Pelodiscus sinensis: one gene and its partners. The protein of the gene in region 4 purifies or fractionates together with the protein of the main gene of each other region. This does not show direct contact. Links are inferred from orthologs where the notes say so. Each region holds a gene or a part of one and is shown on either strand. Other genes may lie near its edges. The genes, in order: FAM110B, VPS13B, BYSL and CSNK1D.

Region 1 (7,560 bases), on a different chromosome or scaffold from region 4:
CAAGTGCATAAAGCCAGGTGCTTATTAGAAACTTTTGCCAACATAGCAATATTGGTGGCAGTCTGATTATTTATTTAAGTACTCTGGCAAAAGCCCTAGCTACAGTTATACTGACACAAAAGTACTTTTGCCAGGTATAGCTTATTTTGCTTGCCAAACCAGGATAAACAGTTTTTTTTACCAGTATTAGCTTTTTCTATACTAGAAAGGTTTGCCAGGATAGTTATAGCAGCAAACTTTTTCTATAGCCTTGTAGACTTGACCTAAAGTTAAGCATATGCCTGTTTACAGGATTGAGGGTCTTCTGTTACATAATGTGTTTTCAAATAGACTTATTTATAAATCAGTAATTATAAATCAATAAATAATATGTCAAGGTTAAATATAAATTGCTAGAGTTTTGTTTTGGGGATTTTTTACAAGTACTTATACAATAATTTGCTCTCAGACTGAAGCCCTGCATGCCAGGTTTCAGCTCTGAGGTAAATTTCATGGCCTAAACAAAACTCCCTGAATATAAGGTACTTAAATTTGAAAGGAAATAAATGAGACTCTAAAGCTATTGAATCAAAAGTGGCTACACTAAAATGACTAAGGTGAGATATTAAATGTACTATTCCACTCTTCCTAGAAGAACAAAGTGGCAGTTTAATGAAGCTATCCGTCATGTGAAGTTTAGGAGTAAATTTGTCAGTGAATAGTATAAGAAACAATTTGATGGACAGCTCTGTTTCATTATCAAGGACAGGACAGAAAACATACAGTATATATATAACAACATTTAGAAAGTTTTTGGCATATTTGTGTAGCATTGAAGAGCTCTGTAGGCCTCTTCATAGAGGCTTTGTGCAGGGTTTTTGCGCAAGAAGCTTTTTGCGGAAGAGATCCTCTGCAAAAACTTCTTGTGCAAAAGCATGTCCACATCTCAAAAGTGCATCGCAAAAGGAGTTATTCCTCGCAGAAAGAGGTATACCTATACCACAATGACGTTCTACTGTAAATTTTCTTGTGCAAAAACGCGCTTGAGTTGTGGACGCTTCTTGGGTTTTTGCGCAAAAACGGCCATTTTTGTGCAAAAACTTTGTAGTCTAGACATAGCCAGAGTGTTTGGAAATGCTTACTTTCAAGGTCAGATTAAGGAGATTCAGAGCTCTTGGCATGCCATGAGATGGGCTCCCTTGTGTCTTCTCCCCTACAGCTGTGCTCCCTGAGCCTTGGCCCTGTCTCCAACAGAAGGGGGAAGGCAGAGGAACCCCCCAATCTTTTCCAGAAAGGTAGTGGCAGCAACACTTCTTTCCCTCAGAAGCAACATCACAGCGTTCCTCCCAAAGTCTGGACAGGCAGAAATTCATCAGTCAGTGTACATCTGATTGGGTGGATGAGCGAGGTACACCATATTTCCCCTTCCCCCGTATGCCCTCTGCCTGCCACAAAGTTCTCTATAAGGATGTTGTTGACAGGGATCCCCTGAGCAGTAGGTCTTGGAGTTACTATCCTACCAAGGTATAAATAAGATGCAGTTTTCTTATTGTTTCAGGCTCTCTGCTGAGTCAGCCAAACTTCTTGCATTTATTACACTAGTTTCACATTTTTATGCTTTTATTCCCAATGATGAGGACTAGAAACCTTCTTTTTTAATTGAACGTTTAAGTTCTGGTGTAATCAAATGGCTGCAGGATCTGGGTCTCTGGCCATGATTGTATAGCTCCTATGTCTTAATTCAGGGGGTGGGCACTAATTTTTGCAGGGGGCCACTTAATTAATTTTGCTACATGGTCATGGGCCAGCTCCACCCCCACCACCCTCAGATGGGGTGGGACTTGGGGCAGAAGGGGCAGGGCTGGGGACTAACCTCCTTCCACCGCTATCTGGTATTGGAGAATTTAAACAAAGAAAAGGGACTGCAGCTCCTGGCCTCGGAGCTCCCATCCCTGTAGCTACCATGTTGCCTGGCAGCTGCCTAGAGTTGCTGCAGATGTTTAAAGGGCTCGTGGCTCTGGCCCCTGTCAGGGTAGCACCACAACTAGAAGCTGGGAGCCATTTAAATAGGATCCTGCTGCCTGAGACACCAGCCTGGAAATTCGGTGGCATGGACAGCAGGATATAAATAGAAAGCAGACAGATGTAGTCTGCGGGCAAGATCAAAGTGCTTGGCGGACCAGATCTGGCCCCTGGGCCGCATCTTGCCCGGTGCTGTCTTAATTTGACCCTGCTTACTTTTCAGTATGACAATATTCATTTCTTAACACATAAACCCTAAGTAATAGGGAGTTTTGCTGCTCGGTAATGGAATATATACAAATAACCTGTGAACAGGTTGTTGATATGCAGTGCAAGAACTCCTCCTAAATGTTAAGAGCTAGGATCAACACATTTGGTATGCAGCTTTCTCTTATAACTTAAAGCAAGGGAAGGGTTTAGTTGTCCCAGGACAAAGGGATGTGTCTGGAATATGACTGTTTCTCATAAAATGGAAAGGGAGGTTATACTGTAGAATGACCACAGGCGATCAAGTGCACTGGTAAGAGAGTGCATGGCTAAGGGCAGGGTTGTGGATACTGCCAGGCACTATACTCAGGTAGGGTTCCTGTGCTGGTGAGTTGATAGCCGGGCAGCGTGGCCTCCCGCTGCCCTGGGATCCACTAGCCAGGCACCACACCCCCTTGCTCTAGCCAGCCAAAGGAAGCCTTCACTTAGCCAGTACAGCCCTGGCCAGCCCTGAGGAGTTGCTGGCCAGGCAGTGCATTCCCCACCATCCTAGTCCTGCCCTGAGCCCCCCACCCACCCAATGTCCTGCCCTCCACATTTTTACTCAAAGCCTTCTCACTCCCTCCTGATTACTACACCTCTGCCTCCTGCCCCGAGGCCCCCCACACCTCCCAACCCCCTGCCCTGACTCCTTCAACTCCCCCTTCTTTGAGCCCCTCCACCTCCTGCTCTGAGCACCTCCTCAACCCCTAACCTTGACTCCTGCACCCCCACACTCTCAGCCCTGAGCCCCTCCTTAAGGACCTGAGCAACACTAGGTTAATGTGCTAATAATCAAATATATTAGCTGTAATAGTAGCTGCTACTCCTACACTGGTTTTTGGGGGGTCACTGAATCTGCATTTAGGGCTGCTGTTTACACTCTCTCAGCCCTCTTCCATTGTGTCATTGTGTTCAGGGCTGCCTCCTCCCCTATGTAATGTAGGAGGGTGCAGAGACCACTGTACACAGCCATTCTGGTTGTGCTCTTCTCATGCAGATGTCTGTAGGAGAAGGCCTACGCAATATATACCTAATTAAACTTCACTTCTAATGAATGGGATCTATTGTGATTGCAAAAGGAGTGAGAACCTGCATCAAGGGACAGTAAGTCAAACTCAGCCAGAGAACTGGGTGAAGGGCTCAGATTAGAAATGTAGAAAAATAGGAGTATGCATAGGGGAAGAATGATTAAGTATTGTGAAAAGGAGAAAAGGTGTGTAAGAACAATCATATGGACACCTGGATGTGTAAATGAACAGGAAATGAGGGTAAATGAGTTAGTAAATATGTGACTAGTAAAGGTATCAGTACATGTGTGTGGCACAGACCAGAAAAACAAGTCTAAACAAGCTTCAAAGTTTATGTGTAAGAATTGCATTTGCTATAGCATCTGACGAAGTGGGTCTTTGCCCACGAAAGCTTATGCTCCAACACTTCAGTTAGTCTATAAGGTGCCACAGGACTCCTCTCCGCTTTTGCAGATTCAGACTAACACGGCTACTTCTCTGATGCTATAGCTTTTGTACATTCCAAAGATGATTGCTGTGAGTGCAAAATAAATATTCATTACCATCTGCGCTACTAAGATTGACAATTATGTAACAAACAGCTTAGTGTAAATTAGGAGTTACTACTGGTCAGTTCCTCAGAGGACATAAATAGGCATTGAAGTCAATGTGGTTGATTTACAGCAGCGGAGGTTGTAGCCCATTGTGTCATATGCATCTCTCAATACTCAACATAACCAGTTGACTCCATTCCAATGAAGCTCCTTTAGATTTTTCACTGGTGCAGTCTGACTAAAACATACCCCATAGCCCAATCAACAATGATCAAAATTAACTGCTTTGGTACATGAATTTCTCATTTCTTGTACCAAGGGAAAGTGAGCGTTGCTTTTACCGCCACACATGTTTTCAAAATTCCCCCTATGCTGCCTGAAACATCCCATCTTGGCTCAGTGGTATTTCACTAAAACCCATCTATTTCATAGTGAAGTAACTTCTGGGGCCCACTTTCCAGGATCTGTTGGATGAAATTCTGGCTCCTTCTCCCCTTCCCCCTTTGAAGGATTTTCTGGATAAAACGCTGCCCCATTGACGCCAATAACAAAACTCTTTTACAATGGGGCAAGATTATTACCCATTATTTTTTATCACCATTACTCCTTTAGAGACCGCGCTATTAAAATGTGGGCAGCAGGGGTCACGTCATCGTGGGCTAGCACTGGCATGGGGCTGCTAATCAGCTGCCACTCTAGTTTCACAAGAGCGTGTGCGGGCGCGCACAGAGACAGTGTGTGCCGGTGGAAAAGCCCGGCGCCAGCCCTGAACCCTGGCCCCGACCTCGGCTGCCCGCCGCGGAGCTAAGACCCCTTGCCCGCCGCGTCTGTGCTGCAGAGCCCGGCTTGGTTGCGCTTGGCTCGACTGAGGCTCCCCCCCCAGCTGCTGCAGCCCAGAGCCTGGCTAGCTCAGCCCATTGTGTGTGTAGCAGCCCTCCCGCCCCCGTCCCTCCCCATTTCAGCGTGGACGAAACCATTGCAGCCCGGGCCGCGCCGCCAGACCTGCGGGGCCGTCTCCCGAGCGGCCGCTTCCTCTCGGCAAAGCAAAAGCAAGGCCAGGAGGCGGGCGCAGCCGCGTGGGAGCAGGGGGCGCGGGGCGCTGCAGGGCCCGTAGCTCCCCTCCGCGCGTGGGGGCGGTGGGAAGAGCCCGGCTGCCCTGCCTCCCCTCGCCGCCAGCAGCGCCCGGGAGAGTTTCATTCAGCGCCGGGAGGAAGCGCTGCCTGCCCGCCGCGCGGCTCGCTGCTCCCCTCCGCCTCCTCCCCTCGGCGGCGGCAGCTTACCGCGGGAGGCCGGGAGCGGCAGCTACAGGCAAAGCCGCGGCGGTGCCCTGCAGGGAAGGTAAGGGCGCCGCGCGGGGAGGCTGGGCTGCGGGCGGGCTAGTCGGGAGCCGGGGGAGGCAGCGCTCGGCGCCGCTCCGCTGCACGCGCTCATTGTTGTGCAAAGTAGCTGCAGCTCCCGCTGCCTTCTCCCCGGGCAAGAGCTCTGCGCGGAGGCTGAGCTGTCGGCACATAGCCCCGGAGCTAGTTTCTGGAGGTATCGTCCATTTCACACCCCCCTCACCCACCCCCAGCATAATTCTGCAAGAACATCTGTGCGCCTCTGGATGGTTCTCCCCCCCCCCCAGTCCCCCCCCCCCCCCTTCTCCCAGTCTCCAGCTTTTCCTCTTGCGAGGTAAGATCTGGTTCGGGTCTGGGGTTCTGACAGCAGGAGGTGGAAGTTTCCCCAGCAACTCGGGAAGCGGAAAGCTGTTTTTTTAAAGGGGGGGGGGGGGAGGATTGGGTGGTTTTGTGCGTGTGCAGAGGAAGTTTACAGCCCTTGTAGAAAAGTTATGATGGAGAGATTGGGCAGAAGGTTTTGGGATGGATTTTCCTTGCAGGGTTAGATGTGTGCTGCTGGAGGGACTTGATCACTGATACTAAACTTAACGGGCGCAAATACACTCAGCAGGAACCTGGTGCGTAGCTGGGAGGCTGTCGCTGGACGTGTCTCTCTGAAAGTTTCCATTCATCTGATTAATGCCACTTTGGGCCCTTTTAGGAATGTTTCAATATACTCACGTTCCTCGGTGTTTGTAAGCAGCAGTGGTGGCTTCGGAGTAGGGGAGGGAGAAAAACAACCTTTCCACTCGTCTATCTCAGTAGTGCATAGTTTTCAGGATAAGATGCAGCAATGTGGTGGGAAACCCCTGCTGTGTTTGTAAGCCCAACTGCCTCTGCATATTGACAAATTATGGTGCAATGTTTTATTCTTCTTAACTTAAAACCAGGTGGTTGTAGCTCCAGTATCAGGTCAAGCCTCACAACTTTTTTGAAAAACACCCCCCCCCCCAACAACCTTGTTTTTTCACCATAACACTGCTCAGAAATAAAATGGTTCAGTTATTCCTAAATTCTTCATTAATATCAAGGGAAAACACATGGCCTAGGAGACAGAAATTCAGAGAGTAGCTGTTTAACTCTTCAGATGTTTTTTTCTGACTCAGAAAGAAGTGCATACTTCCTCCTCCAATTCCCTTTCTCTCTGATGCAGGGCAAAGCACAAGGCTTCTTCCTCTAGGTCAAGCTTATGCCCTGTTCAGAATCTGGTACACATCTGTCACAACATTACATGAAATTAGGTCTGGCTTTTTAAGGACTACTGACTAGTTTTTGTTTCAAGGGAGGAAGCTTAAGGTGAGGGAAGAGAGAAGACTTACCAAAAATAAATGTACTGGGATATTTTTCTATATTCCCTTTCCTGCTATTATTGTGATATAGATAGAGACTCTTAGAAAATACTTGCTCAGAGCAATTGCTCAGAGTTCAGTGAAGTCTGTTTTTTTTTTACATTACTGATGGAAAGGTAGTGATTTGGCATATGACCTAATAATGTGTGATCACTAGCAGGGAGGAGATATTTCATTCCTTCACAGACTATTTAAAAAACCTAGTCTAAGAAAATAGAATGTTCAATAATAAAATGTTACAGAATCTGAAAAAAGTATGTGCATTTAAACTTGTAACTTAATGTGAAAATTCATTTAATTTGCATGTTGATCCCTATTATATCAGTGTTTAAGATAACCTAAGTGTGATCAATTTTTTATCTCAGACACACTGACACTGATTGGCTTCATTATATGTAATTATCCCTTGTATTTAAAATGACAACATTAGTTTTCTTGCCTAAAAGGCTTAACATGATATCTGGAAATATAGGTTTTTCTATAATGTAGCTATTGATTTTAAAAATTGGTGTTGCATTCCTAACTCTTCCATAAATTTCTTGGGTGACCTTGGGAAAGTAATTAAACCTTTAAGCCTCAAATCTCCACTTCTGTAAAATGTTTGTGTCTTTACCTTTTCTAATATATTGATGCTTAATGAACATTTGTAGACTATGGTTCATAGGGATGTTGATATAAAAGTGTAAATTTTAATTTGTTACAGCAATGTTACATCACTTTTTATCCTACACACAAAATCTGTTGCATGTAGTTAATAGAAGATGTTGCACTTACACAGCTTAGTGTGTGTGGGTAGACTTAGAGTAAGTGCCTCACTTTTAAATGTTCTGAAAAGATCAATTTAATCCATTCCTACAGGCTTGCATTACATTGAAATGAGGAAGGCAATTCCTGTAAGAATGAATTGCTCTAAATTAGGCCTGTCAAACAATTAAAAAAATGAACTGTGATTAACCAGAGTTAAAAAATGAGATTAATTGCAGTATTAACCAATAATAGGATACAAATTAAAATGTATTGTACA
Region 2 (7,288 bases), on a different chromosome or scaffold from region 4:
TATATTTAATATTTGTGTTCATGAAGTCCCAACCTATTTGCATTAGAACCAATAATAAGCTTGTACAATATGTAAAAAACAAAGCTGCATGACAGAATGGGGGGCCATATCCTTACATAACACTTTACAGGAAAATAGTAATGTCTGGATCTAAATAAATCCCACCAATTTATAAACTCACCTTTTGCTTATGACCACAGACTGATTAGAATATTTGCTTAGACTGAAAAAACCAAAAATTGTTCAAAAATTTATCCACCCTGGTGCTATCTACCAGGGTGGATAAAAATCAATAATTTTAAAAAAAACTTAAAATTGGATTTTTAATTAAAAAACCACTAAATTTCTCATTTAAAAACAACAATTACAATTAAATCTTATCACAAACACTTAGTCTCATAAAAATGAATTAATGCTTCAGTCTGTCCAGCCTAACAATCAGCTCTTGCTCCTTGAAAGTTCTGGGCTTTCAATTTTTGTTTCTCAGCAGACTAAGTAGTAACATATACAAATTGCACCTCCCTTAACCAGGACTCTCTTCGTGAGAGAACCCTGGAGTGAAAGGACCAGCAGCTGGGAGGCCAGTGGGTCTGGTAGAGGAGAAGCTGCAGCAGCAGTGCCAGGGCAGCCCGGGTGGTGGTGGAGCACTATCCGGGCTGCCTGCCACCCAGCAGCAAGGCCAGGACCATGGCTGCCCAGGAGGGGAAGCCTGTCTGGGGCTGCATGAGCCCAGATGGCAGCAGGGCCATACTATACTGGGCAGTGGCAGCGGGCTCGCAGCTGCCCAGGTGGCCGTGGCAGCATGATTGGGGCTATCTGCCACGCAGCAGAGGAGCCGGGGCTGCAGCCACCTGTGACGGCGCGTTGGGGGTCCCCCGTCTCCTGCATCCCGAGATGGCACAAACAGACTCCACCAGCCAGTGGAATTGAGGGTGGTTTATTGCTCCTCCAGGATACAACATAGCACAGATGTAATCTGGTTACAGGAACTGGGGGCTAAGAGGCCTCAGTGCCCCCCTTGAGATAGGGGAATCCAGCCCCCTCCCCAGTTCCTTCTCTCCTGCTTTCCAGCCAGGAACTCACTCCACCACTCCAAGCCCTGCCCCCAGCCAGAGCAGCATTCCACCTCCCTTTGTTTCTCCCCATGGGGGGTTGGTTCAACCGGTATGGAGTCACCTTTGCATAATAAGGTTTTCCCTGCTGGGTCTTGCTCCAGACAGAGGAGGTCACCACAGCCCAGCAAGTACCCCCACTACGTCACACCACCTCAGCCCAGTAGGGAAAGCCAGGCCGTGGCAGCCCAACAGAAGCAGCACAACCAGACCCTATGCCACCTTGCAGGCAGCAGAGCTAGGGCTGGCCAGGCCAAAGGATCCAGCAGTGGGGAAGGGCAGCAGGCTGAAAGGCTGATGTCAGGGGATTTCCCACTGTTCAGCAAATTCCCTCATTCGGGACCAGTCAGGTCCCAAAGGTGCAAAACCAGGAAGGTCCAACCTGTACAATAGTTTAAAAACAGACCTCAGTCAGCAACTCAGGAGACAGCTGCAATTTCAAATGTAAGTTTTAGTTTAATAAAATTTAAGTGTTATTGTGTTTGTGTGTATGATTTACTTCTTACCATTCCTAATGTACTGCTGCTACTTCTGCAAGTTGGCACAAGTAATGAGTATTATGTACTATTTCCTATTAATAAAAATCAAGTTATGTAAAAAAATTATACAAAGTGTGCCCTCTTAGATATTTTAAAATACTGTACTGAGCTGTACATGTCTTAGTTACCAGATTTGCACGACAGTTTGAAGAAATGTGAAGTAGTATCAGTGGGATACTTGATTTAAATCATGATTTAAATCAATCCACCCTATTATCAACAGTCAAGTTCAATTTCCTGCCACTTCTGGCATACCAAAGTAGTTTTTTTTAACAAATCCAGTTACATATAATTTGCATTTGGCATAGCATAACTTCTGAAATAGTTAGACATGCAATCTTACTTTTATGACTGTCCAGCATATAACACAATATTACATCCGCTCATTTGGTACTACACAAACCTATAAACACACATAGCAGAATTTGATTTTTATTTCTCTTATAATCCTGATGGATAATACTGATGTTTATTTTTAAACATTTTTCGAAATTGTTATCTAATTAAATTTTCAGTTGTAGAAAATCACAAGAGTGGTTTAGAATCATTTAATGAAAGTAGATATTCAGATTCAAAAAGTTAAAGCTTATAAAAATTAAATCACAAACTGTCAACTGCTCTTGTCAAAGATTCAAAGTAAACATCCTGAAATCAAACTGTAGTAAGTTCTGAGCAGCATTTTTCTTACTTTGCTTATCTGTACATTTCTATTATTCTGGAAGAGAATTTTTGTAGGTTTTTCTACTGTGATGTTAACATTTGCCAATGAAAACCTAATTGTTCCATGCTTATCTGTAAATTAACAGCACTCACACACACCCCACCTGCCTCCAAAGCTCCCACCAGCCCCACTCCTAAATACACACTCCCGCCCTCCACCCCACCCGCTTTCATCCCCCCACTGTGTCCTGCCTCCCGCAACACTCCTACTTGCCCCTCGCCATCCCCTGCCCCAGCATCTGCCCCTCATCCCGTCCGCCCCCCAGAGCTGACTGACCCAACCTCCCCCTCCCCCGTGAGTAACGGTAAATAGTGCTGGGTAAAACCCCCAGCCGTCACACGCTACCCCCGCCCCACGCCCCAGCCCCACACTCGCCGCTACCTATCTACCAAGCAAGCAAGCCCTTCTCACTACTACCGCCCGTCAGCACGGTCCCCCCTTCCCAGCACGACCCCCAGGGCCCTCTCCCCGCCGAGCCCAGCCCCGGACTCACCTGCGCACAACGTCCCCCTGTGCGGGCTAGTAGCCGCGGCAGTTACCGTTTGGCCGGGCAGTTCCGGTTGGTGTCCTCCCTCACGTGCTCCCCGCGGCTCCGGCGCGTTGGAGGCGCAGGCGCGGTTGTGCTGCCCGGCCGGAAGGGTCGGGCGGTGACACCGGGAGGCGGGCTCGGTTGGCTTCCATGCGGTAGCTGCGTGGCTGGGGATCGGATCGCTGGGGCAGGGTGGAACTGGTGCCGGGATTAAAGCCGCGTCGGGTGGCGATGGGAGAGGGTAACTGGTACCAGGATAAACCCCCTCCCCCCGTAGAGAAGGTAGTAATATGGCCTGGGATGGGACTCGTTTAACCCTGTTTTGGGCAGCGCTTGTTCATGTTTAGGAGCTTTGCCTGTAACGGGACAGGAGAGCGCTAGAAACGCCTGAGCAGCAGCTGAGAGGGTGGGTGTGCTGTGAGAGGACAGCGTTTGGAACTGCTCAGTCTCCCCATGTGTGGTGTATGAGACGACGTTTCTCTCTAACCCAACAGAAAAGCTTCCCTTATTGAGTCAAGTATCAGAGGGGTAGCCGTGTTAGTCTGAATCTGCAAAAGCGACGAGGAGTCCTGTGGCACCTTATAGACTAACTGAAGTGTAGGAGCATAAGCTTTCGTGGGCAAAGACCCACTTCGTCAGATGCATGTAGTGGAAATTTCCAGAGGCAGGAATAAATATGCAGGCCAGGATCAGGCTGGAGATGACCAGGTGGATCCAATCAAGGAGGATGAGGCCCACTTCTAGCAGCTGATCTGGAGGTGTGAATTCCAAGAGAATAGAAGCTGCTTTTGTAGTTAGCGAGCCATTCATAGTCTTTGTTTAATCCAGAGTTGATTGTGTCAAACTTAAAGATGAACTGTAGCTCAGCAGTTTCTCTTTGAAGTCTGGTCCTGAAGTTTTTTTGCTGCAGGATGGCTACTTTTAGATCTGCAATTGTGTGTCCAGGAAGATTGAAGTGTTCCCCTACAGGTTTTTGTATGTTGCCATTCCTAATATCAGATTTGTGTCCATTGATTCTTTTACGTAGGGACTGTCCTGTTTGGCCGATGTATATAGCAGTGGGGCATTGTTGGCACATGATGGCATATATTACGTTGGTGGATGTGCAGGAGAATGTACCAGTGACAGTATGGCTGATCTGGTTAGGTCCTGTGATGGTGTTGCTGGTGTATATATGTGGGCAGAGTTGGCACCGAGGTTTGTTGCAAGGATTGGTTCCTGAGTTCGAGTTATTATGGTGCGGTGTGTAGTTGCTGGTGAGAATATGCTTCAGGTTGGCGGGTTGTCTGTGGGCAAGGACCGGCCTACCTCCCAAGGCCTGTGAGAGCGAGGGATCATTGTCCAGGATGGGCTGAAGATCACTAATGATGCGTTGGAGAGGTTTTAGCTGGGGACTATAGGTGATGGCCAGTGGTGTTCTGTTGGTTTCTTTCTTGGGCTTGTCCCGTAGCAGGAGGCTTCTGGGTACACGTCTGGCTCTGTCAATCTGTCTCCTCACTTCCTCGTGTGGGTATCGCAGTTTACAGAATGCTTGTTGAAGGTCTTGTAGGTGTAGGTCTCTGTCTGAGGGGTTGGAGCATATGCGGTTGTACCTCAGTGCTTGGCTGTAAACACGATCCATTGTTTACAGCCAAGCACTGAGGTACAACCGCATATGCTCCAACCCCTCAGACAGAGACCTACACCTACAAGACCTTCAACAAGCATTCTGTAAACTGCGATACCCACACGAGGAAGTGAGGAGACAGATTGACAGAGCCAGACGTGTACCCAGAAGCCTCCTGCTACGGGACAAGCCCAAGAAAGAAACCAACAGAACACCACTGGCCATCACCTATAGTCCCCAGCTAAAACCTCTCCAACGCATCATTAGTGATCTTCAGCCCATCCTGGACAATGATCCCTCGCTCTCACAGGCCTTGGGAGGTAGGCCGGTCCTTGCCCACAGACAACCCGCCAACCTGAAGCATATTCTCACCAGCAACTACACACCGCACCATAATAACTCGAACTCAGGAACCAATCCTTGCAACAAACCTCGGTGCCAACTCTGCCCACATATATACACCAGCAACACCATCACAGGACCTAACCAGATCAGCCATACTGTCACTGGTACATTCTCCTGCACATCCACCAACGTAATATATGCCATCATGTGCCAACAATGCCCCACTGCTATATACATCGGCCAAACAGGACAGTCCCTACGTAAAAGAATCAATGGACACAAATCTGATATTAGGAATGGCAACATACAAAAACCTGTAGGGGAACACTTCAATCTTCCTGGACACACAATTGCAGATCTAAAAGTAGCCATCCTGCAGCAAAAAAACTTCAGGACCAGACTTCAAAGAGAAACTGCTGAGCTACAGTTCATCTTTAAGTTTGACACAATCAACTCTGGATTAAACAAAGACTATGAATGGCTCGCTAACTACAAAAGCAGCTTCTATTCTCTTGGAATTCACACCTCCAGATCAGCTGCTAGAAGTGGGCCTCATCCTCCTTGATTGGATCCACCTGGTCATCTCCAGCCTGATCCTGGCCTGCATATTTATTCCTGCCTCTGGAAATTTCCACTACATGCATCTGACGAAGTGGGTCTTTGCCCACGAAAGCTTATGCTCCTACACTTCAGTTAGTCTATAAGGTGCCACAGGACTCCTCGTCGCTTTCCCTTATTGAGTTGCTCTCTATTAACCTTCACAATGAGGGAGGAGGACTGGGCAGGGTGGGTGGGTGTCTCTTTTTTCCCCACCCACTGTGTAATTTGTTTAAAATACAGTAACTTTATAAAATACAGATAACTGAAATAACCATGCTCAGTTTTAAGTATGATGTGTAATACACTCTATAATGGGTTTGGCCACAGTATCCTCCTGAGACTGTCACCTGATGTGCTGTTCCTACAACTGAGCTTGCCTGTCCAAGTGAGCCAGAGCCTCTGGTTTCCCTTGGTGAAGTCAAAAGTTGGGCTCACAGTCCACAGCAGAGCACACAGACACTGATATTCACTCATCTTGGGGAAGACTCAAGTCAAAGGAGCTCAATACAACACTCAGGTGCATAGCCCTTATGGGACCAAAACCCCAGAAAATCCATCTCACTGTGCATAGTGTTTGTATAACAGAGTGAACCCCCTTTATCAGTGAAAGAGATATGCACAACTGCTCTCCCACCCTCCTTACATCTACACAGGGTTTAATAGTAACAGTGATGTTATTAAGTATAACAGGTAGAATTTAGGTGGTTGTAAGTAATAACAGACGGATCAAAGCAACTTATACACAAAATAAAACATGGCACCTAAGCTTAATACTCTTAAACTTGTTATGCAATTTCTTAACCTAACAGTAGTTCTAATGACCTCTTCTCACAAGCTAGGCAGCCTCCCACATTACAGATCTTTCCCCATGTGCAGTCTTACTAGTTTCTAGCAAAAAAAAAAAAAAAAAAAACCCAACAACTGGTCTAGTAGCACTTTATAGACTAGGAAAACATGTAGATGATGTCACTATCTACATGTTTTGTTAGTCTATTAAGTGCTACCAGACCATTTGTTGGTTTTTTTCTATAACAGACTAACTTGGCAACCCCGGATGTTCCTAGCAGTCATCTTAGTGGTAACCAGGAGTCTCCTCGCATCTAGCACCTGTCCCTGTTGTTTAGTTCCATGCTTTTATATATATATGCTGCCCAAGGCAGGAATATTTTGTGTTCAGTTCAGACTTTTTCACCTTGAGTGTAAAAGTACAGTGTCCAAAATGGTTTCCAGCCTGGTTACATGTCTTTGTAGGTCCAACCATAGTCCAGGCTCACAGGACAAGCAAGACTATTCACAGCTCATTGGTTCAAATACTGGGCTATTAAGTTCCATAAGCACCACTAATGACACTGAGCAGATCTAGTTCAGTAAAGAGATATATGCTTCATATTTCTATATTTATTTTTACATCAGAAGCAGGAAGCATGCTTAACAACCAGTGGGGCCACTGGACAATTGAGATGCTAAAAGAGCAAGCAAGGATGATAAAATCATTGTGGAGAAACTATGAATTCTTTAAAAGCGACGAGGAGTCCTGGGGCACCTTATAGACTAACTGAAGTGTAGGAGCATAAGCTTTCGTGGGCAAAGACCCACTTCGTCAGATGCATGAGTGGGTCTTTGCCCACGAAAGCTTATGCTCCTACACTTCAGTTAGTCTATAAGGTGCCACAGGACTCCTCGTCGCTTTTGCAGATTCAGACTAACACGGCTACCCCTCTGATACTATGAATTCTTTGAATCAATCTTCAAGGCTGAGGATGTGAGGGAAATGCTCAAATCTGAGCCATTCTTTTTAGTTGACAAATCTGAGGAACTGTCCCAGATTCAGGTGTC
Region 3 (7,444 bases), on a different chromosome or scaffold from region 4:
TCCACAGCCCACTCTGCTACTGCCCTGCCGGGTGACCTTGGGAAAATCTCTCCCCCTTTGGTGCCTCTATTTCCACTCCCATCCTTTATCTGTCTTGTCTATGACGGGTATGTCTGTCTTTGGAATACAGGTACAGCACCAAGCACCTGATCTCAGCAGGGCCTCTAGGCACTGCAGCAGCAACAGGCAACCTAAGCTACTGAGCAGGCCGCAGGAGTGGCCCTCCATCTCAGTGGGCCGCAAGAGTGTCGTAACCAATATAGCCTCCCGGGATAGGGTCATTTTGCTCACTGCGCTTGTGTACCTGGAATTCGCAGGGCATGCCGAATGAACTGTAGCAGGGTTTTGATTGGTTGCAGAGCGAGCACACAGCTCTCGCAGCCAATGCTGTGTGCAACCAGCACACACCTCGCCTCACGTGCTCTTGTTTTATGAGTGTGTCACGTTTGCAATACCGGCAGGGGAAAAAAACCTGACGCCAACAGAAACTAGTGGGATCTGGCAACCCCGCGTATGGGCAATGGTAACAAAATATTTCATGGGTCATAGGCTGCCCACTGCTGCTCTCCAGCAATTGGAGTTACTATGGTTGGCCCCATGCATATGCCATGGAGAGGACATGCAGCATTATCTACCGTTTGGGCACAGGAGAGTCAGGAATCCTGAGTTTTATTCCTAATTCCGCCTCTGACTTGCCTTAAGAGGTTGGGCAAAAAACAATCCTCCCCTATGCCTCAGTTTCCCCAGCTGTGGAAGAGTGATGGACCTTCAACCAAACCCACCCTCTAGAATTCACGTAACCTCTTCAAAGCGCTGTTTTAAACTTCAATGCTATCCGAGTGCAGCGCAGTTGGGCCCAGTACAGAAACACTTACATCCCTTGGCTCAGGGGCAATGTTCCAATTGTTTCCATCTATGTGCAGAATAAGTTTTATTGCGTGCACCGTGCCATGTGCGGATGTGCACCACCAATAGAAAACGCAGGCTGGCTATAGGCCCTCTGCTAATCAGGGGGGCAGCCTTTTAATTTCTCGCGATCGGGGTTGCTTCCTACCTTAGCGGAGGATTCCTGTTCATGAACATCTCAATAGCTCTCTCATCCTCAGGGTCCACCGTCACCTCCTCACAGTACTCTCCCTTTCCCATGGATGCAGCCTTCTCCAGCGCGGGCCACTCATCATCCTCTGCGTCAGAATCCCCATCGCGCAATCCGGACCCTGAAATAAACCACATCCTGTTAAGGTTGGACAAATAAGGGTGCAGAGCCAGTAGCTGGGTGGCCAGTGAGATGAATTTACAGCAGCTCCTTTCTAATGTAGACAACCACCCACTATAGGAAGGCAGACCAGGGATACCCAGGGGCAGTCCATCTGAAGGGGCAATCAGAATTTCCATCCAGGCCCAAAACGTGCTTCTCCTCTGCCAATTGCTTAAACAACTGCTGTGGCCAGCCAATAATGTTGGAGCACAGATGTGCAATTAAATATTACGGTGCATATTTCAAGCTTTATTAATTAAAGAATTAAAAACGGTTTCAGGTCCTATATACGTGCATCCCCGCCCCGCCGCCTGTTTTTTAGGGGATTATAACCAGCATTCCCTGTAGCCTGTGCGCTTTTGCAGCTGCTCAGGTGGGATTCAAATGCCACTCAGCTGATTAGCAGAGCATCCACAGCTAGGTTGTGTGGTGCACATTCACATATACCTCGATGCCCATAAAAATGTATTTTGCACATGGATGGAAAAGATTAGAGGGTATAATGATTATGATGTGTGTGTTATACACACTGAACTTTATACTCAGACACAGACTCATCAGCTTTAATACAACTGCTCAGTTTTGCAAGATCACAGACTAGGGGCCATGCTGTAAAACGTATTTCGGTGACCAACTCCAATACCATTAAAAAGCTGGTCCTAAGTGACAAATAAACTGACTAATGCAATGTACTGTCATATGTACAATAAAAATATTATTTGGGACAGGAAATGAAGAACGTATTATCCAGGTGAAAGGATGGTTCACTGAATAGACTATGGCACTAAAACTCAAAAAACCTGGGTTCAGTTCCTAAGTCAGATTTCTTGTGTGACTTTGGGTAAGTCCCTAGATCTCTCTGTGCAACTGTAGACTCTATTTGTCTCTAGTATCTCCGAGGTGCTGGTGTAACAGAACCAAACCTGGAACCTTTGGAATTTAGTGTGTGAGCCTCTACAGCTTCAGTTATAAACCAGCTGGCTCTCAGCTGAGGCTGTAGAGGAAACGTACTCTTCTTCTCCATAAGGGGCTCAGTGCCACTCCATGGGACAGTGAGACACGCCCAATCGGTGTGTGGGTTATCACTGTAAGGATAAGATCCCTTCATGATAGAGATGTCAGATACTGTAGTGATGGGGGCAGTTTAAGGATACATACAATGGATACAAGGGGGGGATTTACGGAGGCAGGATGCCTTCCCATGAAAAAACTCAGACCAAGCTACAAGGTTAGCACACCTGTCCCTTTTGCTGTCTCATCCCAAAGGCAGCCGCCAGGGCAGCACAATGCCTCCTCCCACGACACCGGGACTTTTGTTTTAATCCGCTGTTCTTAGAGATCGCCCTGCGCTTCAATTCTCCGCCACAAACAACGGTAAGAGAATCAGCGCGGCTCCCCCACTCACCCAGCACCGTGGTCTTCTCCTTCTTCGCTTCGGTTCCCTTGCCTGGACAGTGCTCCGCCTCCAGCTCCTCCTGCTGGATCCGAGCCTGCTCCAGGATCCTCCGGGACAGCTTCTCATCCACGTACTGCTCCTCCTGCTCCCCACCGCCATGCTGCCCGCCCCTGCCTCGCCTCTTCACCCGCGTGGTGGGCCTCACCGAGTCCCCTTGTATAATCTGCTCGGCCAGGGGCAGGTTCCTGGCCGCCTCCCCTGCGCCCCTCCGCCGCTTGACCTTAGGCATAGTGATCCCCCAGCGCTCTCCCCGCAACCTGCGGGAAGTGCACGTGTGCGGCCCGACAGTGCGCGTCTTCGGAAGAGGGAGGGCGCATGCGCTCTTGGAACGTTGGGAGTCCTTCCGTTCCAAAATTGGCAACAGCGTAATGAACGCTTGTCTCCAGTCTCGGCTCTTAAAGGCGCAGGCGTGCTATTTTAGGGCGCCTTCTAGGAACCTCTCCCAAGGCAGAGCTTTCAATTCGAGGGAGTCCTTCGTGCGACAGCGAGTTCCATTTTCAGAAGCAGCAGAGAGAAGGGGGATTTATTGACACACGGACTGGAGCCACCTATTAATGGGCATAAATTGCAGCAAGGGAGGTTTAGGTTGGACATTAGGAAAAGCTTCCTAACTGTCAGGATGGTGAAACACTGGAATAAATTCTCTAGGGGGGTTGTAGAATCTCCATCACTGGAGATTTTTAAGAGCAGATTGCAGAAACATCTGTTATGGATAGTGCTTGGGCTTGCCATGAGGGCAGGGGACTGGACTGGATGACTTCTCAGGGTCCCTTCTAGTTTTAGTGTCTAGGATGCTATTAACTCCACTGAGATACATTAGCCTGGAACAACTTGGTGGCGGGGCAGGGGATATTGGTTACTTGGCTACATAATTCTTAGGGTCCTAGAATAGGATCAGCCCACACCAGAGTTCCATTGGGGCTCGTTAAAATCTTTTGCATCAGTGGTTAACATGCCCCTGGGCTCCTAAAACCTGATTTTACTCCAGCCCCTTCCTCCCCCCGTTTATATTTAGTGCCATCTGCTGCTCGCAGTCCTTGGGGACTAATCTGCCTCTAGGAGGAACTAGCTTTGTAATTCCCACCTACCGAGAGGCAGGGGGACTGGCCAGAGACTGGAATCCTCCCCTCTTGCTGATATCATTTCCTGCTGGGTGCTTGACACCGCAGAGGGGTTGGAGCTAGCGAGTGTGCTTCCTCCACGGAGAGATACACCCCTAGCCAAGTCACTGCTGCAAGTATATTTTTAAACCGAGATAGTATCAGCTCGCCCTCGCCGTCTTGCATAGGGACCGGTCCAGCCCGACGTGAAGATTTCAAGAAGCATGGGAGTTACCTGGTGAGACGTTCTATGTCGCGTGGTTAAAAAGGATACATGTGGTTGGGTCCTGATTGGCTTGCCATTAATGCCACGGCGTGGGGTTTGCAGACGGGGGGGTCTGCAAGGAGCAGCTCTGCTTCGGCAGCTTTGATCTAGCATTGCACCGAATTGCGGGAGAGGGAGGGCTGAGGATTTGCAGCAGGGTGAGCTCATTGCGCTGAGCCCTAAGAGGTTAAGTCCTTAGGAGCTGCTCTGTGGCAGGAGGAGCTGACAGATGCGTTTTCAGGCTGCATTGATTCTTGCGGCTTCTCGAGCCTGTGTTGCAGTGGCTGGGGCTTGTCTTACTGTTGGAGCCAGCACCACTATCCTGCCTCACTAGGGATGCTAAATATTGTGTAATTCAATAGTTGTGTAAGCACATGAAATCTTAGAAGTTACACGATTATTCGATCGCCCCTGGGGGCGGGGGTGGCAGCGGCAGCCAGTGCTCTCCCAGCCCCACACCTGGGGAACCCCCTACTACCTCAGGCTGCTGCCTCTGTATCAGAGGCAGCACCAGGGGATGGCAGGCGGGAACAAGTTCACAAGGGAAGCCAGTTAAAAAACAGCTCCCTGCGCAGACCGGCTAGCTGCAGCCCCATGCTGCTGCCTCTAAGACGTAGGTAGCAGCGTGGGATGGCAGTAGCCCCTGTCCGTGTAGGGTGGGGGGGGAGGTCTGAGTTCCCTGCAGACAGAGTCTGGTCTGCGACAGCAGGCCCTGTCCACGGGGAGCTTGGACCCTCCCCCCCAAAAAAGGACAGGAGCTGCTGATGCAGACCAGCCTCTGTCCACGGCAAGCCCAGGGTGCCATGGACGGAGCCAACTTCACAGCAACCTCCCCTGCCTCTCCCACCCCCGCATTACTGCCGCTGATAGAGGCAGCAGCGCCAGGGGGAGGCAGCTCCACAGAGCTGATGTTGGGGGGAACCTGCTTCTGGCTGGCCCCTCCTCTCTGCCTCTGTAGGAGGCAGCAAAGGGGGTCAGGTAGGTCCCCAGAGCCAGCACTCATGGGGAAGCTGCTTGAAAGCCTGCTCCCTGTGCGTATGGACTCCAACCTACCCCCCTCATCCTCTGCGCTGCATGTAGTCAACAAGATTAACCCATAAGTCCAGGCTTATTGGTTAATCGTGTAGTTGACTACGCATTGACATCCCTCATCGTCACATGTGGCCAGGTGGAAATAATGGGAGAAGGCACCCAGCAGAGAAGAACGTGGCTGAGGCCGGGTTCTTGCTCAGGCGTGTGAGGAAGATCAGAACAGTGATCCATCAAGCCCAGTGTCCTGTCTTCCAACAGTGGCCAATGCCAGGTGCCCAGAGGGAATAGGCAGAACAGGGAATCATCAGATAATCCCTCCCCTGTTGCCCGTTCCCAGCTTCTGACAAATGGAGCATGATTTTGCATCCCTGTCCGTCCTCACTAATAGCTATTGATGGACTTATCCTCTATGAACTTAGCTAGTTCTTTAGAACATGTTATAGACTTCCCCTTGACAACATCCTCTGGCAGGGAGTTCCACAGGTTGACTGGGTGTTGTCTGAAGAGAGACACCGCTGCTCAGGGAATGCAAAGAGGGAGGTGGGTTATGTTCTGACAGGGATCTAGCTAGGGCATGTTACCGACACGCTATGTCAATACTGCAGCTCGTAAAATAAACTAAAGGGATAACTGGTATTGCAGTCGGTATCAGGGGCACGGAGGGTATGTATTTAAAAACAGGAGACCAAGGATTTATACTACTTAAGCGGGAAACAGAATTGCTCCATGGATAATATGGGATCAAATGTGCTCTTGGTTATCTGGGTCTATCACTGTAACGGCAAAAATCTTGTGTAAAACAGATTCTTTTGTGTGATGCTCAGTTTATACGTTTATAGGGTGACAAGGAAAATTTACCTTTACAGTGTCCCGTCTGTCCTGGTATTTGGCACCCTTTGCTGTGGTACTGTGTGTGGTGCCAATACTTGCTGTGTCTGCCTTAGGGGGTCTCTTAAATGTCTGTTAACCATGGGATGTTTGAGCGGCCTAGAAGCCATATGCAAAGCTGTTTTATCCTTTTCTGGGTGTTCTAGCTTCCTTTGCAGGCATGGGTTCAAATCCTGCTTCTGAACGGTCTCTTTAATGATCAGCAGTCTTTCTAAAAGCAATGCTATAGCTCAAATAGAAGTATATGGGTTTGATGGAAGAATTACTCTATCATACTCTGTGCTATGTTAGGTAGGAGGTCAGACTGGACTATCACAATGGTCTCTCTTGGCCTTGAAGTGCATGAGTCAAGTATGCAAGTACCCTACAGATCCAGCAACTCATATGTTGGCTTCTGATCTCTATTATAGACTTTATAAGTACATTGACTGCTGAATTGGATTCTGACTTGGTTACCATGTCTTTCTATTAGGGATATTAAAAGGTAGTTAACTAGGTAACTGTGTAGCCGTTAACATTTTTTACCCGTTACACACTGTGGGCTCTGCAGTACTAAGTTTATACTGCAGAGCAGGGGTGGTCAACCCGTTACAGACAAAGAACCAAAATAGTGGTGGATACAGTGCAAAGAGCCAAGGGAAAGAAGTTGTTGGGGGGGGGGGGAACCGCTGCCCCTTTAACAGCCGTCGGCCGGAAAGTTGTTGAACCAAAACCCCCCCAAAAAACCCCAACGCTGCCCCTTTAAGAGCTGCACGTGGCCCAGACAGGCTTCTGTTGGCCGCAGCGTCAGCTCTCGCTGTCCCAAGCGGCACCCTGACCAGACAAGGAAAAAGGTCAGAGCACGGGAATGCAGAACAGCCGCGGGTGCGAGAGCTGCAATTTTTCCTTTGAAGAGTCGCATGTGGCTCGCAAGCCGCGGGTTGGCCCCCCTTGCTGCAGAGACTGCAGTGCAGCTGGCTTCCAGCCCATACCTGCTCCCACCTACCACCCTGCTTCAGGGAGCTGGTTGCCACCCTGTGTTGCTGTATCTGTGTCAGAGGCTGCTATGCAGGGCAGCAGCCGGCTCCTTGGAAGTGGGGCCAGGAGCTCGCAGTGCAGCCATTAAACTCACATGTATCAGGTAAACATTTAACTAGTTAAACTGTTCCATCCCTATTCTCCATATGTGAATACGGAATCTTTTCTGTTGCTTCCTTCTCTTCTATGATAGTGTGTCTCAGATGCCCGTGACGGAGGGAAAGAGCGTCCAGCAGACAGTTGAAATCCTAACAAGGAAATTGGAGCTACTGGGAGCGGAGAAACAAGGAACATTTTGTGTGGACTGTGAGACCTACCACACCGCTGCCTCCACCATTGGCAACCAAGGTCTGCATTGCATTGTATTTCATGGTGCAATCACAGAGGCATTCGACCCTGTGGAGTTTGCTAGAACTGATCATCGGGGT
Region 4 (7,617 bases):
CCCTTGTTCCCAGACCCTACACCCAAATCCCCTGCACTCACTCCCTTTCCCTCGCCAAGACTCCACATTCCCAGCTTGGTCTGACACCCTGCTCCATACATGAAACTGTTTGTTCTTAGGGGTTCCACGAAATTCTTTCGAGTTTAAAAAGGTTCCATGGCCAAATAAAATTGGGAAACACTGTACTAAGGAAATGCCAACTCAAATGCCTCTGCTGATCTTAGTTATGGCAGCACTGCATGGCACAGCCTCTTAACACAGGCAGCCCCTAAACCACCTAACTCAAAATCAACATCTTAAACTCCTTCAAGAAACCTACAGGTAGCCAGGACAGAATCTGGAGCACAGGTATTATACGTGCATAACAACATATACCACCTTCCTCACACAGTCTTCTAAATGAAGGCATTAACAGAGCCCAAGAATCCTGAGCTGTCTCTATATACACTGCAGACCATCAGCTAGAAACATTCAGACCTCATTATACATATGTTCTCTTCCAAGATAATCACTATTCAGTGCCTGTGAACAAACTATTTTAATTTAGAATTTGAGGAACAGCGGTCCATTGGAATAAGAAATACTGTACTGTAGAAAGTAAATTAATTTGCATACAGATGATATTATTGCAATAACATACACAAATTGGTGATATTCTTTTTAATCTAAGTGTACTAGGGAATGGTGCCCCCTGCTTCCTGCACTTGCCAACCCCCCTCTGGGGGGGGCAGCCCCAGTTCTCCCCTTGGCCACCAGGGAGGGCAGGCAGCAGCCTTGCCAGCCCAGGCCCCTTCTCCTTCCCTCCGTGCCCGTTAACCAGGGCCCTTTCTCTCTCCCCCACAGTCTAACCGTAACCCCCATGATTGGCTGAGTATCCTGTCAGGCCTGGCACAAATCCCAGCAGTTCTTCCCCTTCCCCCAGCACTGTGGAGGGTCCACGGCCACCTTGGCTCTTCCCCCTGCCCCTAGGGAGGGCCAAGCCCTGGGGAGACCCTGCCTGCCTTCCAGCAGGCATCTCCCATGTGTGCTGTGGGGGGTGGGCTTCCTCCCCCTCATTCACCAGGAGGGGCTGGGCCCAATTTTCCCTCTGGCTCCATCTCTCCCACATCCCCTCCACGCTGCTCCAGCCCTTGCTGCACCAAGCCATGTGTTCTCCCTGCCCTCCCGCCCCTCGTGCCTCTGGTACAGCCAGCCCCAGATCGGGAAGTGACAACTAGTCGACTATCTGATTAGCAAATGATTATCGGATAGTCGACTGCTCGCTTCCCCCCCTTGCTGCCTCTATCAGAAAGAGGCAACAGGGGGGGAGAGAGAGGAGGGAGTGCTTCAAAGCCGGGCTTCCTGCAGCACTGCTATTTTGAAACACCACATGCAGCCTGGGCCAGCTAGGGTGCCCCCAGGCTGCACGTGGCATTTCAAAGCAGCAGCGCCAGATGGAGCCCAGGATCAGCTGGGGACTCCCCCACTGTCCCCAGGCTCCATGCAGCACTGCCGCTTTGAAACACTGCATGGAGCCTGATGCTGAACTCCCCATGGCATTTCAAAGCAGCAGCGCTGCACAAAGCACAGGGTCAGCATGGGAAACCCCAGAAGACTCCAGGCTCCACGCAGCATAGCCGCTCTGAAACACCATGTGCAGTCTGATGCTGGGCTCCCCACAGCGTTTCAAAACGGCAGTGCCACCAGGAACCTGGAGCCAGCCCACCTGACCCTCAGCTCTATGCAGCGCTGCTGCTTTGAAATGCAGGGGGTAGCACAGGGCCAGTGGGAGACTGCTTGGTCCCCCGCTGGCCCCATGCTCCTTGCAGTGCTTTTGCCTTTGAAATGTAGCAAAGCAGACGTGCCCTATCGAATAATCGATACAAATTTAACATCTTTAGCCCCAGCTCAACTCAGGGGATGGACTGTCCCCCACTCCAGGCCCCCTCTTCCCCCAGAGCTCTGTAATTTTCCTCCCTGACTTCCCCCCCATGCCACCAGCAGCAGCTTACTTTTAGAGCCACTGCTGCTTGGGAGACATAGGTTGCAGATCCTTGCTGGATTAGCAGCAGCAGGGAGGACAGGAGGAGGCAGGGAAGCTGAGGGGGGAGGGACACCGAGTGACATGATTATGTCCCAGTAGAAAAATCTTTTAAAATATATAGAGATTTCTAGATTTCCCAGCAGTTGTAGCAGGATGGTATATGTTTTCTGGCTCATATTTCAAAGGCTACTCCAATTTTTAAAAGTAGACACCTATGATAACATGTTACCTATGGGGTTTTTTCAAATTCTGTATGTAGCATGTTAGCAGGGGTGTCTGCTTATCAACACTAGAACAGCCTTCCAAAGACAAAAATCCAGAGACCTGTTATTCCAAACCCATTAAAGACGTGTTTAAAAGGGTGCAGTTTCTCAAGTCTGTTTATGATTTCAATGAACAGAATGCAGAGGCTCAGCCCACTGTAACCGACACGGTGTAAGCACAAAGCAAGAGACTCCCTGCCCAGAGGAGGTCACACGTAGGCCGGGCGCAGTGAGCGACACGCACGAGGCAGGCGCACAGGGCCTCAGAGGCCGAGCAGGGCAGGAGGGACCCGCAGTGACAGCAGCCCCGACCGCTCCAGAGCGATGACGCGGCTGCTGCAGCCACGGGCCGGACTCGCGTCCAAGTCACCAGCCCCCCGCCGCGGTTACAGAGCGGGCAGGGCGAGGGCAGCCCGGCCACGCCCGCCCCGGGCCCCGGACCTGACACCCGCCCGCGGCCGGGCCCCGCCTCACCGAGGTAAATGTCCCCGAAGGAGCCGCTGCCGATCTTCCGGCCCAGCCGGTAGCGGTTCCCCACGCGCAGCTCCATGGCGGCCGCCGGCCTCCCGCTGCCGCTTAGAGCCCGGCGGCCCCGGCCACCATCGCGGCCGCCTCGCGGACGGGCGACTCTGGCTCGGATGGACGCGGATTCCCCCGAGCTCCGACTCCCCTCAGCGTCTCAGTGCCCGGGCCGCCATACTGTGTGACCTCACTTCCTTAGCAACGGGGGCGGGGCGCCCGGGGAGGAAGAGGGGGCGGGCCTTGGCCTGGATTCAGATCCTGCTCAGGGCTGGGGGGTTCTGTGCCAGGCCGGACCTGCGGGGCTCCCGCCTCCCCTCACACAGGGCACCTGCCGTCCCCCACAGGGCCGGGGGGGCCACAGGGTTCATCCCTGGCAAGCTCCCATTGCTATTCCCCTGAGTTTCCACAGGGCCCGGCAATCGCAGCTCTCCTGGGGCTCGGCTCACAGGTGCCGGACAATGGGAGTTGTGGGATGCCCTGGCCTCTCTGTGCCACTTCCCACTGCTCCCATTGCCCAGGAGTGGCAAGCCGTGCCCAACGAGGGTGGAGATTACCAGTACGCAGGGAAATATAGTGGCAGCAGCCCACCATGGACTAACTCTGGCGGGCCACTGGGTTTTTTTATTGTCTTCCCCTGACACAGAGGAACAAGGAGGGGACACAAAAGAGCACCCCATTGAGCAATCAGTGTTTTGGCAGAGGCACAGTTGCCTCTGTCCCCTTCTGCTCTTTGCACAATCCCTTATGAAAACACCAAGGCTACATCTACACTGGCATGATTTTCCGGAAATGCTTTTAACGGAAAAGTTTTCCATTAAAAGCATTTTCGGAAAAGAGCATCTAGATTGGCACAGACACTTTTCTGCAAAAAAGCCCCAATCACCATTTTCACAATTGGGGCTTTTTTGCGGAAAACAAATCTGAGCTGTCTACACTGGCCCTTTTGCGCAAAAGATTTGGGCAAAAGGACTTTTGCCTGAACGGGAGCAGCATAGTATTTTCGCAAGAAACACTGATTACTTACAGTAGGAAGTCAGTGCTTTTGCGGAAATTCAAGCGGCCAGTGTAGACAGCTGGCAAGTTTTTCCGGAAAAGCGGCTGATTTCCCAGAAAAACTGGCCAGTTTAGACACAGCCCAAGTTAACTATAAGCTTTAACAAAGTAATCCTATTGATCCTAGATGTGTTTGGAGGTGCATGCAGGTATTGATCTGTTCAATGGTAATCTGGACTTTTCATGGTCCCTGTCATACTGCCATCATCATAATCTGGGCTTCTGACTATAACACAGTCAAAGAGGGGCCAGTGTTCAGACCAAAGATGTTTCAGGTCATCTTAAATTTGTTACTCTGCCTTACGCTGGTATTTGTGATGAACTGATCATGCTTCACACATTTGCTGAGAATAACATTGGAGTTTACATCTCCTGCCTCTTGTGCCACTCCAGAGCTGGTAGTCCCATCTGACTCTGGCATTGTGGAATGTGTATGTTTAAGGCTTGTAATAGCTGATTGCGGGCCCATGGATGTAGTACACAAGGAGGCTGGGCTGGCTGATAGGGAGGAGACACACTATCAAGAGGGTTTTACAGTAACAGGCCTCTGTTGCCCCTGACTCAGCCCCCTATGCCTATTCAGCTTGTAGCCATGGTGTGCTCCCGCTCCCTGTGGTGCCTGCACCACTGCTTCACCTCCTGCCCCACACCAGCTCTGCTCCTTGACCCACACAGTGATCACAGGCAGGTGTGGTGCCTTACTAACTAGCTGGGGGAAGGGTTTGGGAACTGCACAGTTATCATTGGTTTGGGTGCAGTGCTTGCTGAAGGAAGAGTTTAGGTGATGCACACTGTGATGTGGGGGAGGGGGTCTGGTTCTTCACAGTTGCTGGTGGAAGAGTTTCAGGGATGCAAATACTGATAATTGGTGAGCAGTGCAGTGTTGCATAGCTAGCTGAGGGAAGGCATTGAGTGATGCATACGGTGATCAGAGATAGGTGTGGCCCCTAAGGTTGCCTGGTGTCCAGTATTGATCTGGACAGTCCGGTATTTTCACCTCCTGTACAGTAAAAAAATTCAGAAAATACCTAAAATGTCCTGTATTTTCTGATTTTTTCCCCCTGCCAGGAGGCGAAAATACCGAACACCTGGCAACCCTATGACACACTCAGAAACTGGGTGGATCCCCCCCCGCAAACCTCCACTTACCTGGTTCCACAGGGGCTTGTCTTATAGCTGAAGCAGAAAAACAAGGTGGCCGCTGGCAAAAAAAAGCCTCTTCTTAAAGGGGCCCTTCTGATTTTTTTTTTCTTAATAACTGCTGTCGGGGTCCTTTTTCTTTTCTCAACAACTTTGGTCTCCTTTTTTTTTCCTCAGCAGAATATTTTTCCTGGTGGGTTTTTTTGGGGAGTGGAGGAGGTGTTTGGTACTTTTGATTAAACCATCTGGCAACCCTAAGCCCCACACAAGTAGCGGGCTAGCTGGGAGAAGCACAGAATGATCATGGAGGAGTGTGCAGTACCACACTAGCTACCTAGGGGAAGGGTTTGTGTGAGGCAGACAATGAGAATGGGTGGGATGCAGCCCCACACAGCTGGGGACAGGGTTTGGGTGATGCACACACAGGCTGTGTCTACACTGGCGGCTGCTTGCTCAAGAACATCTTGCGCAAGGGTTCTTGTGCAAGAACTCTTGAGCAGGAACACATCCACACTGCCATGTGCGAGATGTGCTTTTGTGCAAGAGCATCCGTGGCAGTGTGGACGCTCTCTTGCGCAAGTAAGCTCTGATGGCCATTTTAGCCATAGGGCTTTCTTGCACAAGAAACCCCTGCTGCGAGTCCACACTGCCATCTTGTGCAAGATCTCTTGCGCAAGAGAGCTTACACCTATTAGAAAAGAGTGTAGCTCTTGCACACGAAGCCCTCTCTTACCACGCCATACTGTAAATCTTCTTGAGCAAGAGTAGGTGGGCAGTGTGGACATTCTGTGGAAGAACGGCTGTTCTTGCGCAATAACCTGCCAGTGCAGACATAGCCACAGTGATTACTGTGGTAGGTAAATCAACACACACCTACCTGGGGGAAGGATTTAGGAGGCACACACATTGATGGGCGGAGGGGTGCTATACTAGCTAGGAAGGGGAATGGTTTGGGTGATGCACAGAGTTATCATGGGTGGGTGTGGCACCACACATGCTAGCTAGGGAAAAGGCTTGGGTGACGCACTAAGGATGTCATAGTGTAAATGAGTAAATGGTTAATGGTTAGCCTGGGCTCTTAGGTTAACCTCCATGGTTCCATGCACCCTCTCCTCTCCTCCCTCCCCACCTCTGCATCAGAGGCAGCAGCACAGGCAGGGGCAGGCAGAAGCTGGTGGTTGTGGGGAGCCAGCTTTTAAGGCTGCTGCCTCTGTAAAAGCCAGCTCACCTCACACACCAACTCCAGCAGAGCCACCTCTCCCCGGTGTGTAAACGTGTACTTGCTGAACATTTCAGTGGGTACCAAAACAAATTTTAACATTCCTATGTTACACACCATTATAATGGGGCGGGTTGGGTGGGTTGCGGTACAGCTCACTGTGGGAGATGCACACACTAATCATGGGTGGGATGTGGGTCTGCACAGCTACGTGGGGGAAGGGTTTGACTGAGTAATGCAGTGCTTGTGGGAATTGGGTGTGGCAATGCACAGGTAGTTAGGGGAAGACTTTGGGGGGGGTCACATGATCATGGCTGGGTTGGTGGTGCACAGCTCGCTAGGAGAAGAGTTTGGGTGACACACAGTTATGGTGGGGGCATTGCTGGGGTATGGCCCAGCTAGCTGGGAGTAGAGTTTGGGTGACACACAGAGATCTTATGGCAGGGGTTGAGTGCAGTGTTGCACAACTAGCAAGGGAGAAGCAAGGGTGCCACACACTGAATATGGGGGCGTGCAAGCTGTAGAGCTAACTGGGGGAAGGGAGTGGGTGTGGAACTGTACTAGCTAGCTTGGAGAAGGGTTTGGGAAATATACATACTAATGACTGGAGAAGGTGTGATCCCATCCCGGTAGGTGGGGAAGGGACTGTGTGCTGCACAGAGTGATCACGGCTGCGTGCAGACCCTCCATACATTGGGTGATGTGCAGTGATCTCTGGGATGGGTGTGATGCAACCCAAGTAGGTGGGAAAAGAGGATTCACCAAAGGTAAGCCATGCCTGACCAACCTGATTTACTTTTACTTTTGACTCTGCATATGGGGAAAGTAGTGGACATACGATATATTTTGACTTTAGCAAAGATTTTGATACAATTTCCCACAGTATTCTTGCCAGCAACTTAAAGAAGTCTGGCCTGGATGAACAGACTAAAAGATGGATAAAAAGAAGGATAGATTGTCAGGCTCGGCGGGTAGTGATCAATGCCTCAATATCTAGTTGATAGCCAGTATCAAGTGGAATACCCAGGGGTTGGTCCTGGGACCAGTTTTGTTGAATATATTCATTTATGACTTGGATGAGAGGCTAGATTGCACTATAGAATCATAGAACTGGAAGAGACCTCAGAAGGTCATCAAGTCCAGCCCCCTGCTCTAGGCAGGACCAATTCCAACTAAATCAACCCGGCCAGAGCTTTGTCAAGCCGAGACTTAAACACCTATAGGGATGGAGACTCCACTACTTCCCTAGGTAACCCATTCCAGTGCTTCACCACCCTCCTAGTGAAATAGTTTTTCCTAATATCCAACCTGGACCTCTCCCACCACAACTTGAGACCATTGCTCCTTGTTCTGCCATCTGTCACCACTGAGAACAGCCTCTCTCCATCCTCTTTGGA

The links.
Region 1: the proteins of CSNK1D (region 4) and FAM110B purify together in Homo sapiens (affinity purification with mass spectrometry; 3 studies listed by BioGRID and IntAct, counting the BioPlex papers as one, with this or other methods). This does not show direct contact. The link is inferred for Pelodiscus sinensis from reciprocal best matches to the Homo sapiens genes CSNK1D and FAM110B.
Region 2: the proteins of CSNK1D (region 4) and VPS13B purify together in Homo sapiens (affinity purification with mass spectrometry; 3 studies listed by BioGRID and IntAct, counting the BioPlex papers as one, with this or other methods). This does not show direct contact. The link is inferred for Pelodiscus sinensis from reciprocal best matches to the Homo sapiens genes CSNK1D and VPS13B.
Region 3: the proteins of CSNK1D (region 4) and BYSL purify together in Homo sapiens (affinity purification with mass spectrometry; 3 studies listed by BioGRID and IntAct, with this or other methods). This does not show direct contact. The link is inferred for Pelodiscus sinensis from reciprocal best matches to the Homo sapiens genes CSNK1D and BYSL.

What each region holds. Positions count from the first base shown.
Region 1 is NC_134712.1:63,426,505-63,434,064, reverse strand, and holds the start of FAM110B (protein FAM110B), read left to right. Parts: upstream 1-4,557; 5' UTR 4,558-5,149; intron 5,150-5,186; exon of another isoform or gene 5,187-5,344; intron 5,345-7,560. UniProt on the Homo sapiens protein: May be involved in tumor progression.
Region 2 is NC_134712.1:37,054,392-37,061,679, forward strand, and holds the start of VPS13B (intermembrane lipid transfer protein VPS13B), read right to left. Parts: upstream 3,020-7,288; 5' UTR 2,866-3,019; intron 1-2,865. UniProt on the Homo sapiens protein: Mediates the transfer of lipids between membranes at organelle contact sites. Binds phosphatidylinositol 3-phosphate. Functions as a tethering factor in the slow endocytic recycling pathway, to assist traffic between early and recycling endosomes.
Region 3 is NC_134737.1:9,514,433-9,521,876, forward strand, and holds the start of BYSL (bystin), read right to left. Parts: upstream 3,019-7,444; 5' UTR 2,944-3,018; coding exon 2,664-2,943; intron 1,218-2,663; coding exon 1,055-1,217; intron 1-1,054. Other genes in the region: MED20 (mediator of RNA polymerase II transcription subunit 20), read left to right, coding at 4,039-4,052, 7,210-7,364. UniProt on the Homo sapiens protein: Required for processing of 20S pre-rRNA precursor and biogenesis of 40S ribosomal subunits. May be required for trophinin-dependent regulation of cell adhesion during implantation of human embryos.
Region 4 is NC_134730.1:30,529,724-30,537,340, forward strand, and holds the start of CSNK1D (casein kinase I), read right to left. Parts: upstream 3,003-7,617; 5' UTR 2,837-3,002; coding exon 2,761-2,836; intron 1-2,760. UniProt on the Homo sapiens protein: Essential serine/threonine-protein kinase that regulates diverse cellular growth and survival processes including Wnt signaling, DNA repair and circadian rhythms. It can phosphorylate a large number of proteins.